Arabidopsis thaliana: one gene and its partner. The protein of the gene in region 1 binds, or shares a complex with, the protein of each later gene. Each region holds a gene or a part of one and is shown on either strand. Other genes may lie near its edges.

Region 1 (5,445 bases):
TGAATACTCGCACAAAGGAAGTTTGGACAGTCACATTTTCGGAAGTTAAGATCTTTTCTAGCTAATGGGTCCATTCTAAGATATAGACAACTATTGCATTACCTATAGTTTTACGTTTCCCTCAACAGAAGAAGAAGAGGCATTGCCATGGGAAATACGGGTTAAGATAGCCATTGGAACAGCTCAAGGTCTCGCGTTTCTTCACTCGATCAAGAACAGCCCCCTAAACCGAGAACTCAGGATGCATAACATTATGCTTGACGAGGTGGTAATTGTTTTATTTCCATCCTTCTTCTCTCTTTTTGTTTATGATCTTAGAAATTAATATCTAAGTTTGGATTTCATCAGCAATACAATGCAAAAACTGTTCTATCTCGAACCAACCAAACGAAGCTTGGTAGATGAAGGTCTCAAGAGGGGAAGATTTACATACCTATCTCCTGAATGGGGATCGTTAGGTACACGAAAGCATTAACTTTCGTTTTACAAATTCTGAAAAATCTTTCGTTGTTCAACGTTAAGACAATTGTGTAATGTATGTGTTAGGTATTTTGGATATGACGACCGATGTTTACATTTTTGGTATGATCTTGCTTGAACTTTTAATGGGTTCCAAGGATAGAAAAAAGATTAAGGAAGAGCAAGGCTTAGTAGATTACTGGACCTCATCTTTCTTGCCAGATAATTATAAGATTGAGGAAATAATCGATCCCCGACTTGGGAGCGATTATTCTGCGAATGCGGCGACACAGATGGGCACACTCATCAACCGATGCACAGCGCATAATACAAAGAAACGGCCATTGATGCAACAAGTATTGGATGGTCTTAATCATATTGCAGAGATTAAGGACTAATGTGTAGAGAGGTACTAATACTTGACACTGAAAAAGATATTGTAATAACACAAAATACCAGTGTCGGGGTTAATTATATAGCAGATTTTCTGTAACTGGGTAGCCAAAAAGAACTAAAATATAATCTGTCATTGTAAACTATGACAAAGAGAGTACAAAACTGGAGACTGAGATTTTGGAAAAAGTTAAAGACTCTTACATGTTTTGCTGGGATATAACATAAGCTATCGACGATATTAAGATCACGAGTATTGCAACGAGAATGTGTTTGAACCTAAGAGCTCCAACATCTAATCTCCTTACACTTCCAATATCTGATTTTGAACCTGTTTCTTCCTCCTACAAAAAGGTGACCACGGTTACTAACGTCAAGCTTAGATTCATAATATTCGATTGTTGGACTAAAGCTTAATGGTATAACTCACTTAGATGCCAGCAAAAGATCAGATTTTTTGTAAGGTAGAATTATGTTACCTCTGGATTAGTTAATGAAATGAAGGTGGCTTGAAGTCTACTTCCTTGATGGCAAGAAGAAGCATTCTGGTCCGACTTTGGTGAAACTTCACTTCCATTGCCACTTTCCATATAACCAGTTTTTCCAACCTTTTTCAACTTCACCATCAACACACAATTCTCTCTTGACAGGTTAGTTATCTGCAAATAAGTCACTATATCTAAGAATCCACTGTGATGATGATGAAGCTACAAGGACATGAACTAACAGCGAACTGGGGTTTTACGAATATGGTAATACCTGTTTATGAAGTCGTTCTCGTTCAGCAGCTAGTTGCATGACCAGTTTTTTCATGATCTTGTTATGTACCCCGATATCTTTGGCGGTTCGCAATTTTCTTTCTTCTGCTTGCTGTAAATATTTCTCCCCTTCTTTCAATCTACCCTTAAAGAATTTCAGTTCTTCGTTGACCTCTGCGTTAGACTCAGATACCATGATCAACTTCTCTTCGGTAATGTCGGCCCTGTTTTCAGCCTTCAAAACTTTTGATTTTAGATCCTCGATCACATCCTCCATATCAGAAACAGTAGAATATAACAAGTTCTGCTTTTCTTTACTTGCTTCAACAGCTGCAACTGCATGTTCTAGTTGTAGATCTGAGTCCCTCAAGTGTTTCTCAAGCGATGCTAACTTATGTATAGTGAAGCCCTTGTCTCTGAAATTCCCCAACTCGTCTTGAAGCTCCTTTTTGCTTTCTTCTAGGATTTTGCACTTGGATTCTGTTTCCTCAGCCCTTGCTTCAGTTTTGGCTAATTTATCTTTCAGTTCCTCGTTGATACGTTCAAGATCTGTTATCAGAGCACCAGAAGTAGCATCCGCATCTTCTGTTTGAATCCCATATTCATTCAGTTGTTCTTCAAGGGAGCTAACTTTCTCACTTAATGTGGAATTCTCAGTGTTCAACAAAATCAATTTTTCTTCAGCCTCTTGCAAACTCTCTTTTAAGCCTTCTGTTTGTGCCACAAGAAAGTCAGCAAGTCTTGCATTGCTGCTATCAAGCTTGTGCAAGGCGCATTCCTTAGCTTCTAAACGTTCCTTTGAATCAACAAGCTTAGACTTCAAGTTGTCTTCCCGCTTAAAAGAGCCACTTAGATTGAACTGAAGAATCTGGAGTTTTCCAGACATCTCCTTTGACGTTCCCTTAAAGACTTCAGCAGCATTATCTGCCTCAAGCCACCTGGAGAACGCATCTTCGGTTACTTCTTCCATGTAGACAACATCCTGCTCAGAAGAATACAGTTTCATCTCTAGTTCTCGTTCAGTATTTCTTGATTCACTTAGTTTCTTCTCAAGTTCCATCTCCTTAGCCAAAGATTTCTCAAGCATCCTTAAAACATTCCTTTGCTGATCAGCAGTCTGCATATTGATCTTAGCGCTCAGATCACCAAACTCACCATCGTTTTGAGACACTGAAGTTTGCCCTCCAGACCCTGCAAAAACAAAGTTATATAGTATTCATTAAAGCCTGAAATTTTTCTCACCAAGTGATCATCACAACAAGGTTAAAAAGAAAGCTAGATTGGTCACTTACAGCTTCCTTGTTCATCCAAACCAGAAGATAACCTCTGAAAGTTAGAAGATTGCTTCTTCATTTCCACTACTTGTTCCATTAACTGACCCAAAGATTGTTCAGTATCATTCAACTTCCCTTCCAAATCCAAGAAAGCTTCTCCATCATGTTGAAACGGAGATATCATGACACGGGCGCTTTGAATCTCGTTCTGGAGAAAACCAAGAAGCGATTCAAGTTCTTTCACCTCTGAATTGAGAATTGAAGACAAGAGATCAAACTCCAATGCCTTCTCAGCAGAATCATCATCATCATCAACATTACTCGAAGGCTCTTCTTCATCTTCTTCTTTCTTAGAAACAAAAGACTCAAAATCATTTTCCCTCGTGCCGAGTTGCATAGTAAGAAGACTAAGATTGACCAATTTCTCAGAGACAAAAGCAAAATCCAATTCAACTTTTGTCAAAACTTCGCCTGCACTTGAAAGTTGAGGATTCATAACTTGCCCAGTAAGCGAGAGATCTTCAAAAAAGCTTTCTTTCGTTGAGCTTGGCTCAGGTACAAGGCTGTCGTTGTCATCGACAGAGACAGTTCTATCATGTTCCGTTTCTGTTTCCATCTTTCAATATAACTGCAACAGAGAAAGTATAATCACTTTTGTCAAGTAATTGAATTAAGAGATCGGAAACAATAGAGGTTCTGCTAAATCACAAGAACTTTTCGATTCCTGAGGAAATCTAGGTAAAAGTTCCGATTTTTTACTTGATTCCGATCGAGATTGAAGCAAAATGAATGAAAAGGAGAAAACTTACAGTTAGAAACGAACGACACGACGATTAAGATCAAAGACGCTTCCTTTAGAAGGAAATGATCGAGAGATACAGAGATCGAGAAGAAGAAGAAGAAGAAGGACTCGGATTTGTAATTAAACGAATATTGTTTGACAGTAACTCTTTACTAATTTTTTAAGATGCTTTTATTAAAAAAAAACTCGAGTATCGAAAATACACGTCTCTGTTCTATATTTTGTTTGTTTCCAGATTTGGGACATGCGACTGTTACACCAAATAGACTTGACAACAACAACAACAACAACAACAACAACAACAACAACAACAACAACTAACTGAGAATATGAAAACTGAGATACCGCCTAAAAAGTAATTGAATTTATTTTAGTCAATTCTCAACTCTACATTTACAATACATAGCAGATTGCTATTCCAAAATCAGGATATCAAATGGGCTCTTGAATTCAGAATGTATTATCTACAAATTCTGTTTAAGAAACTCCTCTTTAAGTCTCTTGTGAAGGTAAATCCCATATGAGAAGGTTAAGCTAGCTCATGAGAAGCAATGCTTCACGAGTTCGGCCCAAAAGACTCAAAGCGGTTGCTGCTATGTGATGTCCAGTTAGCCCTGCAAGAGCAAGCTGCTCCCTAGGCGATGCTTCTTCTATGTAGCCATCCGGTAACACAATGGGTCTCCACTACACAATGTTAAGAGCAAAATTACAACTTAAAACCAAAAACAGGTGAGAACATGAGGTTTTGATTTGTCTCTCTACCTTGATATTCCCATCGAGCTGGCCATCGAGGGCTATGAACTGCGCCACATGAGAACCAAACCCTCCAACACAGCCTTCTTCGACAGTGATAAGGAATTTGTGGTTCTGACAAAGATCACGCACAAGCTTGATGTCTAGGGGTTTGCAAAATCTTGCATCAGCTACAGTCACGTTCAAACCGAGTTTCGAGAGAAGCGAGTGAGCATGAAGACAATTCTGAACCATCGCTCCATAACCAAGTAAAGCCACATCTTGACCTTCTACGAGAACTCTTCCTCTTCCGATCTACTCTAATATGATAAAGCAGTTCTTGTGTCACCACGGTCTGTTTTTGCAACCAAAAGATTTGAAGATTAGATTGGAACTTACTTCAATTGGTAATCCAGTGGGGACAAGATAATTCATGTTGACGATGGAGCCTCTAGGGAACCGGAAACATACTGGGCGGTCAGTGACATAAGCAGCAGTTGCAACCATATTTACAAGCTCATCCTCATCGGCTGGAGCCATGGCTATCATGTTTGGTAAGGATGACATGAAAGCTATGTCAAAAGCTCCACACTGCACTGGACCATCGGATCCAACAAGCCCTGCGCTTGTAATAACAAATCGCACCGCCTTTCTCTGCCGATCTACATCATGGACCACCTAAAGAAACCATCAAAGACACTAAGGCCATTTGCTTGTAATAAAAACCTTTTAGAACAATTTTATTTTGTGCTAGAGGAAAGTGAAACCTGGTCATAAGCTCTTTGTAAAAAAGCAGAGGGAATAATACAAAATGGCTTGAGACCTCCAGAAGAAAGACCAGCAGAGAATGTGACAGCATGCTGTTCAGCCATTCCGACATTGAAAAATCTGTCTGGAAATCTCTCCTGAAATGTAAGAAGTGACGGATCCATCTCCATTCCTGCATGAACTACAACAATATCTCTATCCTTTTCTGCCTCCATCACCAAAGCCTCAACAAAGCAATCACTGTAAGTGCGTCTGTCTG
Region 2 (4,855 bases), 2.9 Mb from region 1:
TCTATTGGTTAGTCTCTCACCATAAATTTTGATATTTTTGGGGATACAAAGATGTATTATATAAAAAGTTTTTGTTTGATCTTTACGTGAATCTTAAAGATGAAAAATTGTTGTTTGCATGTTATAGATGTCGTTGAAGGATCCGGAAGTTCGTTGTGCTGTAACACACATGCGAAATTTGGAGCTTGCAACACATACCAAGACAGAAAGAGATGCAACAAATGGTGTCTTGATGGATGTGATAATAAGAAAGGCGGTTTTTGCAAACGTTTTGCTGGTGGAGCAAAAAAATGCCATTGTTACTGTTAAAAAAAATATGTTTTTATGCTTGCGTTTGCAATCCTCGATTGCTTATTCTAACTAGTATTAAACTCAAAATCTTGTCTTCACTGTTGATTATATCTTTAGTATGTGAAATGGTCACTCCTGAAAACTTCTTTCACGTTAGTTTAAACTTTTCAAGTTAACAAAATTTGTTTAAAATCGTATCTAAACCAAAACGGTACCAAACCAAATAGAATATAAAATTGTTTTGCTCATAGGTATGACCTCAGAATAGCGATACAATCGTGTTTAAACAAAAAGGACCAATAAGCTATCGGCAAAAATAAAACTAACACCAATGTCTCAAATATGTTTTGGTCTTTGTAGCAGCAGCTAGAGTAATAATACTGGTACAAAACAAACAAAAACATTGAAAAGTACCAACATCACAGACTTAATCTTCCTGATTAACTTCAAGGTTCTTCAGCTTCGATTCCAGCTCACCATTCCCATTACCTTCGTTCTCTTCATCTTCTTCGTCTTCCTCATCATCATCATCTTCTTCTCCATCAGGATCATTCTCATCCAAAGCTCCAAGTAACTCTGGGGATTTCTTGAATATCTCTTTCAATTCTTCAATGCCTTCTTCTGATATGATGTTCCCGTCAATGTTCAACAGCTTGAAAGCTTCTTTCTTCACAACAACATGAGCCAAGGCTCGTGCTCCGGCTCTTCTTATGTAGTTGGTGCTCATATCGATGTATTGCAGTTTTGAGTGACCCTCTTCTATACAATTTGCAATCTGGACACATCCCTCATCTTTCAGCTCATTCTCAGACAAATTCAACTTGTTCAGATCTTGTTTTGCTGCAACACAGGCTGCGATAGCTGAAGCAGCTTCAACTGTTATGTCATTTCCTGCCATCTCTAGAACTTCAATGGGCGAAGCAGACTCCTTTAGAGCGTTTACTATGGCTATGGCACCTTCATCCTCTAGATTTAGATAACTCAAGTAAAGCTCAGTCATGTGTTTGAAGCTTGAAAGAGTTTTGCTCAAAGAAACTCCGGCTTCTGTGCCAAACATATTATCCCGCAGATCAAGTTTCTCCATATGAGTACAATGCTCAAGTGCTTCTGACAAGGCGATTCCCCCTTTTGAGCCGACTCTTGTGGAAGAACAACGGAAATTCTCCAGCAGTGGGGAACGCTTGACAACCTCTGCAATAGCGAGTGCCCCTTCATCTCCCGTCATGTTATTATGAAAATGAAGGACCCTCAAATTCTCTGTTGAAGGAATCAACTCGGAGACCGCTTGCGCAGCTTCCTTAGAGATACCATCATTCATCAAATACAGCTCTTCCAAAGAGCTCAGAGATTTTAAGAGTGCCCCAAACGCTCTAACACCCTTCTCACCCAATGCATTATCTGATAAGTTGAGAGACGAGAGAATACTACCTTGCAGTGCGTCAGAAAATATATTCATAACCTCAAGAGCTTCAAGCTCAGGTCGTCCAGCAACAAAGTCAGACAAGTCAACTTCCTTAAGCTGATCTTTCAAAGACGCCAAGATAGGCTCAGCGACACGAGCAGCTCCCAAGCCAAAACTCCTATTACTAAAGCATATCTTAGTGTAGGCATTGCCAGGTTCCTTCAAAGGTTTGAGAAGCTCCTCAGCTTCCTCAGCCTCAATGAAAGCCCGTTTACCTTTAGAAATATCGAAAAAAGTTTCGCGGGGAGACACAGAATCCTCAGAAATCAATTCTCTTGCCGCAACTTTAGCAACAGGTCCTTTCTTGAGAACTTCTAAGATAAGCTTACTGCATTCTTTGGCATAAAGCTGTACAGCTGAACCACCATCACCATCAGGCTCCCTCTCAAACTGTTGGTTAGCAGTGGAAAAAGCAATATCTTCGATCCTCTTAGCGTTCTCCGTAGCCTGGTCTTTGGTTAAGCTACCGTACTTCTCAGTGAAAATAGTCTTGGAAGAAAAATTGTTGGTTATACGCTCAATGAGAGCTTTTCTTGTAGGTAAACTCGGTGGCCAGAGTTTAATCGAAAATGCATGAGGTCGAGAATCAAGTATATCAGCCATTATCGCAAATCCAGAGTTTTAATATCACTGCAAAAACATACACACAAAAGTTAGAAATAATCAGAGGAGGCTCTATCGTAATCACTAATCACTTAGGAGGATTAACATTGAGCCCAAAGGAATAACTAATTGATAAATCAGAAAATGCTGTGACTAAATCAATAACAGAGATTAAGGAGAGTAATCTCGTAAAGATCGGAGATCCTATAAGTGGATAGTTTCGAGAAGAAGCATTAAATCACCAACTACGAGGAAGGAACATCGGTGCTTAATCACAGGGTAAAATCGGATCAGACAAATAATTATCCGTTTGCGATGAGAATAAACGGAAATGAAAAGCGTACCGGACCGATGAAGATTGTCTGAATCTCGGAGCTCTGAGACTCTCTCTGGCTGCAAAATCGAGTGTGTTTTTAGGGTTTCTCCTTCACCGGAGCTCTTTAAAACTCCCTCCTACGTTCGTTGAACCAAAAGTCTCTATAGACTAATTTAAAAAAAAAAAAAAAGAGAAAGGTTAATAATTCATCGTGACTTGAGTAATTAATCACTTTGGAAGAAAACGTAATTAATTAGAACCAACCTGGTAATTTTGAATCTTTCATGTTAAAGAAAACTCCTTTATGTGTAATGTAATTTTCAGTGGCTTGTGCTACAAAATACTTACAAGTTACAGTCTCTAATCATCAGTAATACTTTCGATTGATTCTTTATTTGTAAAACAAAAATGGGATATTATGTTCTGTGTTGAATCATCTCTTAATTATTCAGACATGAACTCACTGGTCACCACTACCAATATCAAATCGTTACAGCTACGCTTAGTCACAACCTACCCAAAGTATCTTTTCTCAACAGAGAGGATAGTTGGAGAGTGGATTTTGAATTGAATAGTGGAAGTTATACCACAATGGTATTTTTGGATACAAAGGGTAGCGATTTCATTCAAGACCGATTGTGATCAGAGGAGATTAATTAATACAATACAAAATGACCAAAACGAACCAAAAAGCACAGCAAATAACTAAGACAACCCAGTACAGGACGATAAAGACCTCTAATGGCGGCTCTTGATCTCTCTCTCTCTTTCTCTCTATATAATTCCTTGTCTACTTACCTCTAGTTAAGTGCAGTCTTCTTCTTCCGCATTCTACAACCTCAAGCTTTGCAGGTTTGTAGTAGACTTTGTTAGGGCTCTACAAAAGTACTCTCTTATCTCTGGTATTGTTCTCTGCACCAGCTCGTTCTGCCTGCATTTTCCATTCACTTTTGTTTCAGACTAATAGCAATAAAACAAATCTTAGTGGAGAGAGAGAGTGACATCTTGTTTATATTACCAAGGCATTGAACTCAGTTTATCGAAATGCTCCAGGATGAACATGATACAAGCTTGCCTCAGCGACATCGCATGGAATGCTTCTGATAGCTCGTACATGTCTCCTATACTTTCCAACGTAATATCCTTTCATATTCAAAGTAACCGTGTCAGATTTCGTTAAGTACTACGCAAACCACATCATCACTTTACATTGTGATATAATTCTGGCTCACCTGAGCAATTGTGTATTCACAGAGTCGTTTCAGGCCCTCCAAGAGATACTGATCCGCTGCTCTTAGAAGATCTTTTGATATCTCATTTGTTATGTCGACAGATCCAGTGTATATAAACCTGAAAATCATAATCCAAGGGAGTCAATTACGTGTATATGAAAAGTTCTCACAGACTTTTCGAAATTTCAATATCTCGAGTGAGTCAATCAAAAGCATGCAGAGGTTCATTCATCATACCTCATCATTAACTCAAACACCTCCCATTTGATATTTGGAATCTCAATATCTCTAGCGTCTTTTTCCTGTGATATAAACGAAACACAAACCGTGACACAATTCAGGTCTAATTTCCCCAAAAGATAATTGTATTCCTTTGATAAATAGCAGACCAGCATACATCCATACGTCATTGTCATCAAAATATCATTTACCCCACAAGAACATTATCGAAAAACCAAAATATTTAGTTCACTTACTCTGTAACCACCATCAAACATTGCACGAAATGCATCTGAGGATGCCAGCAGACAAATTCTGTGTGCATAGAATGTCCTTCCTGCAGTATGATTTTTCTGTTTTACATATGGACTTTGAAGCTAACTAGAGTTCCACAACTTCTGGATTTATATATGATTACCTTCGACTAGAAAGGTTACATCAGACAGCGTAGCATTATTTACATATTGCTCTCCGAGATAAACCTGTCACAAAAAGACATACAGAATACTGCATTGAGACTTCCACCCGTTACCTATAGGAGAACTGAAGCAGAAAGGAAACTCACCCTTTGTGTTGGAGAAGGAGGAGCAGCATCAACTGGAGAAAGTGCCATAGATTTATTTGCTAATTTGTACAACGCTGCTGCACCGTCAAGTTGCTGCTTAGTGTTTAAAGAACCAAGAAGACCGAGTAGCAACTCCAACCCTGTCAAAAGACAACTCAATATTAACT

Evidence for each region.
Region 2: WIT1 (region 1) and RANGAP2 share a complex: the UniProt entries of both Arabidopsis thaliana proteins name them as parts of the ran complex.

Annotation. Positions count from the first base shown.
Region 1 is NC_003076.8:3,632,026-3,637,470, reverse strand, and holds WIT1 (WPP domain-interacting protein 1), read right to left. Parts: upstream 3,823-5,445; 5' UTR 3,694-3,822; intron 3,513-3,693; 5' UTR 3,501-3,512; coding exon 2,903-3,500; intron 2,802-2,902; coding exon 1,612-2,801; intron 1,512-1,611; coding exon 1,332-1,511; intron 1,197-1,331; coding exon 1,053-1,196; 3' UTR 858-1,052; coding exon of another isoform or gene 547-857; 3' UTR 537-546; downstream 1-536. Other genes in the region: AT5G11400 (Protein kinase superfamily protein), read left to right, coding at 1-44, 129-195, 349-458, 547-857; DXPS3 (1-deoxy-D-xylulose 5-phosphate synthase 3), read right to left, coding at 4,221-4,370, 4,449-4,733, 4,818-5,096, 5,186-5,442. UniProt on the Arabidopsis thaliana protein: Together with WIT2, required for the nuclear envelope docking of RANGAP proteins in root tips.
Region 2 is NC_003076.8:6,504,592-6,509,446, forward strand, and holds RANGAP2 (RAN GTPase activating protein 2), read right to left. Parts: upstream 3,055-4,855; 5' UTR 2,937-3,054; intron 2,848-2,936; exon of another isoform or gene 2,841-2,847; 5' UTR 2,701-2,840; intron 2,384-2,700; 5' UTR 2,357-2,383; coding exon 719-2,356; 3' UTR 501-718; downstream 1-500. Other genes in the region: AT5G19315 (Defensin-like (DEFL) family protein), read left to right, coding at 1-7, 128-309; ARIA (ARM repeat protein interacting with ABF2), read right to left, coding at 3,504-3,603, 3,691-3,815, 3,905-4,022, 4,142-4,206, 4,381-4,460, 4,542-4,605, 4,689-4,828. UniProt on the Arabidopsis thaliana protein: GTPase activator for the nuclear Ras-related regulatory protein Ran, converting it to the putatively inactive GDP-bound state.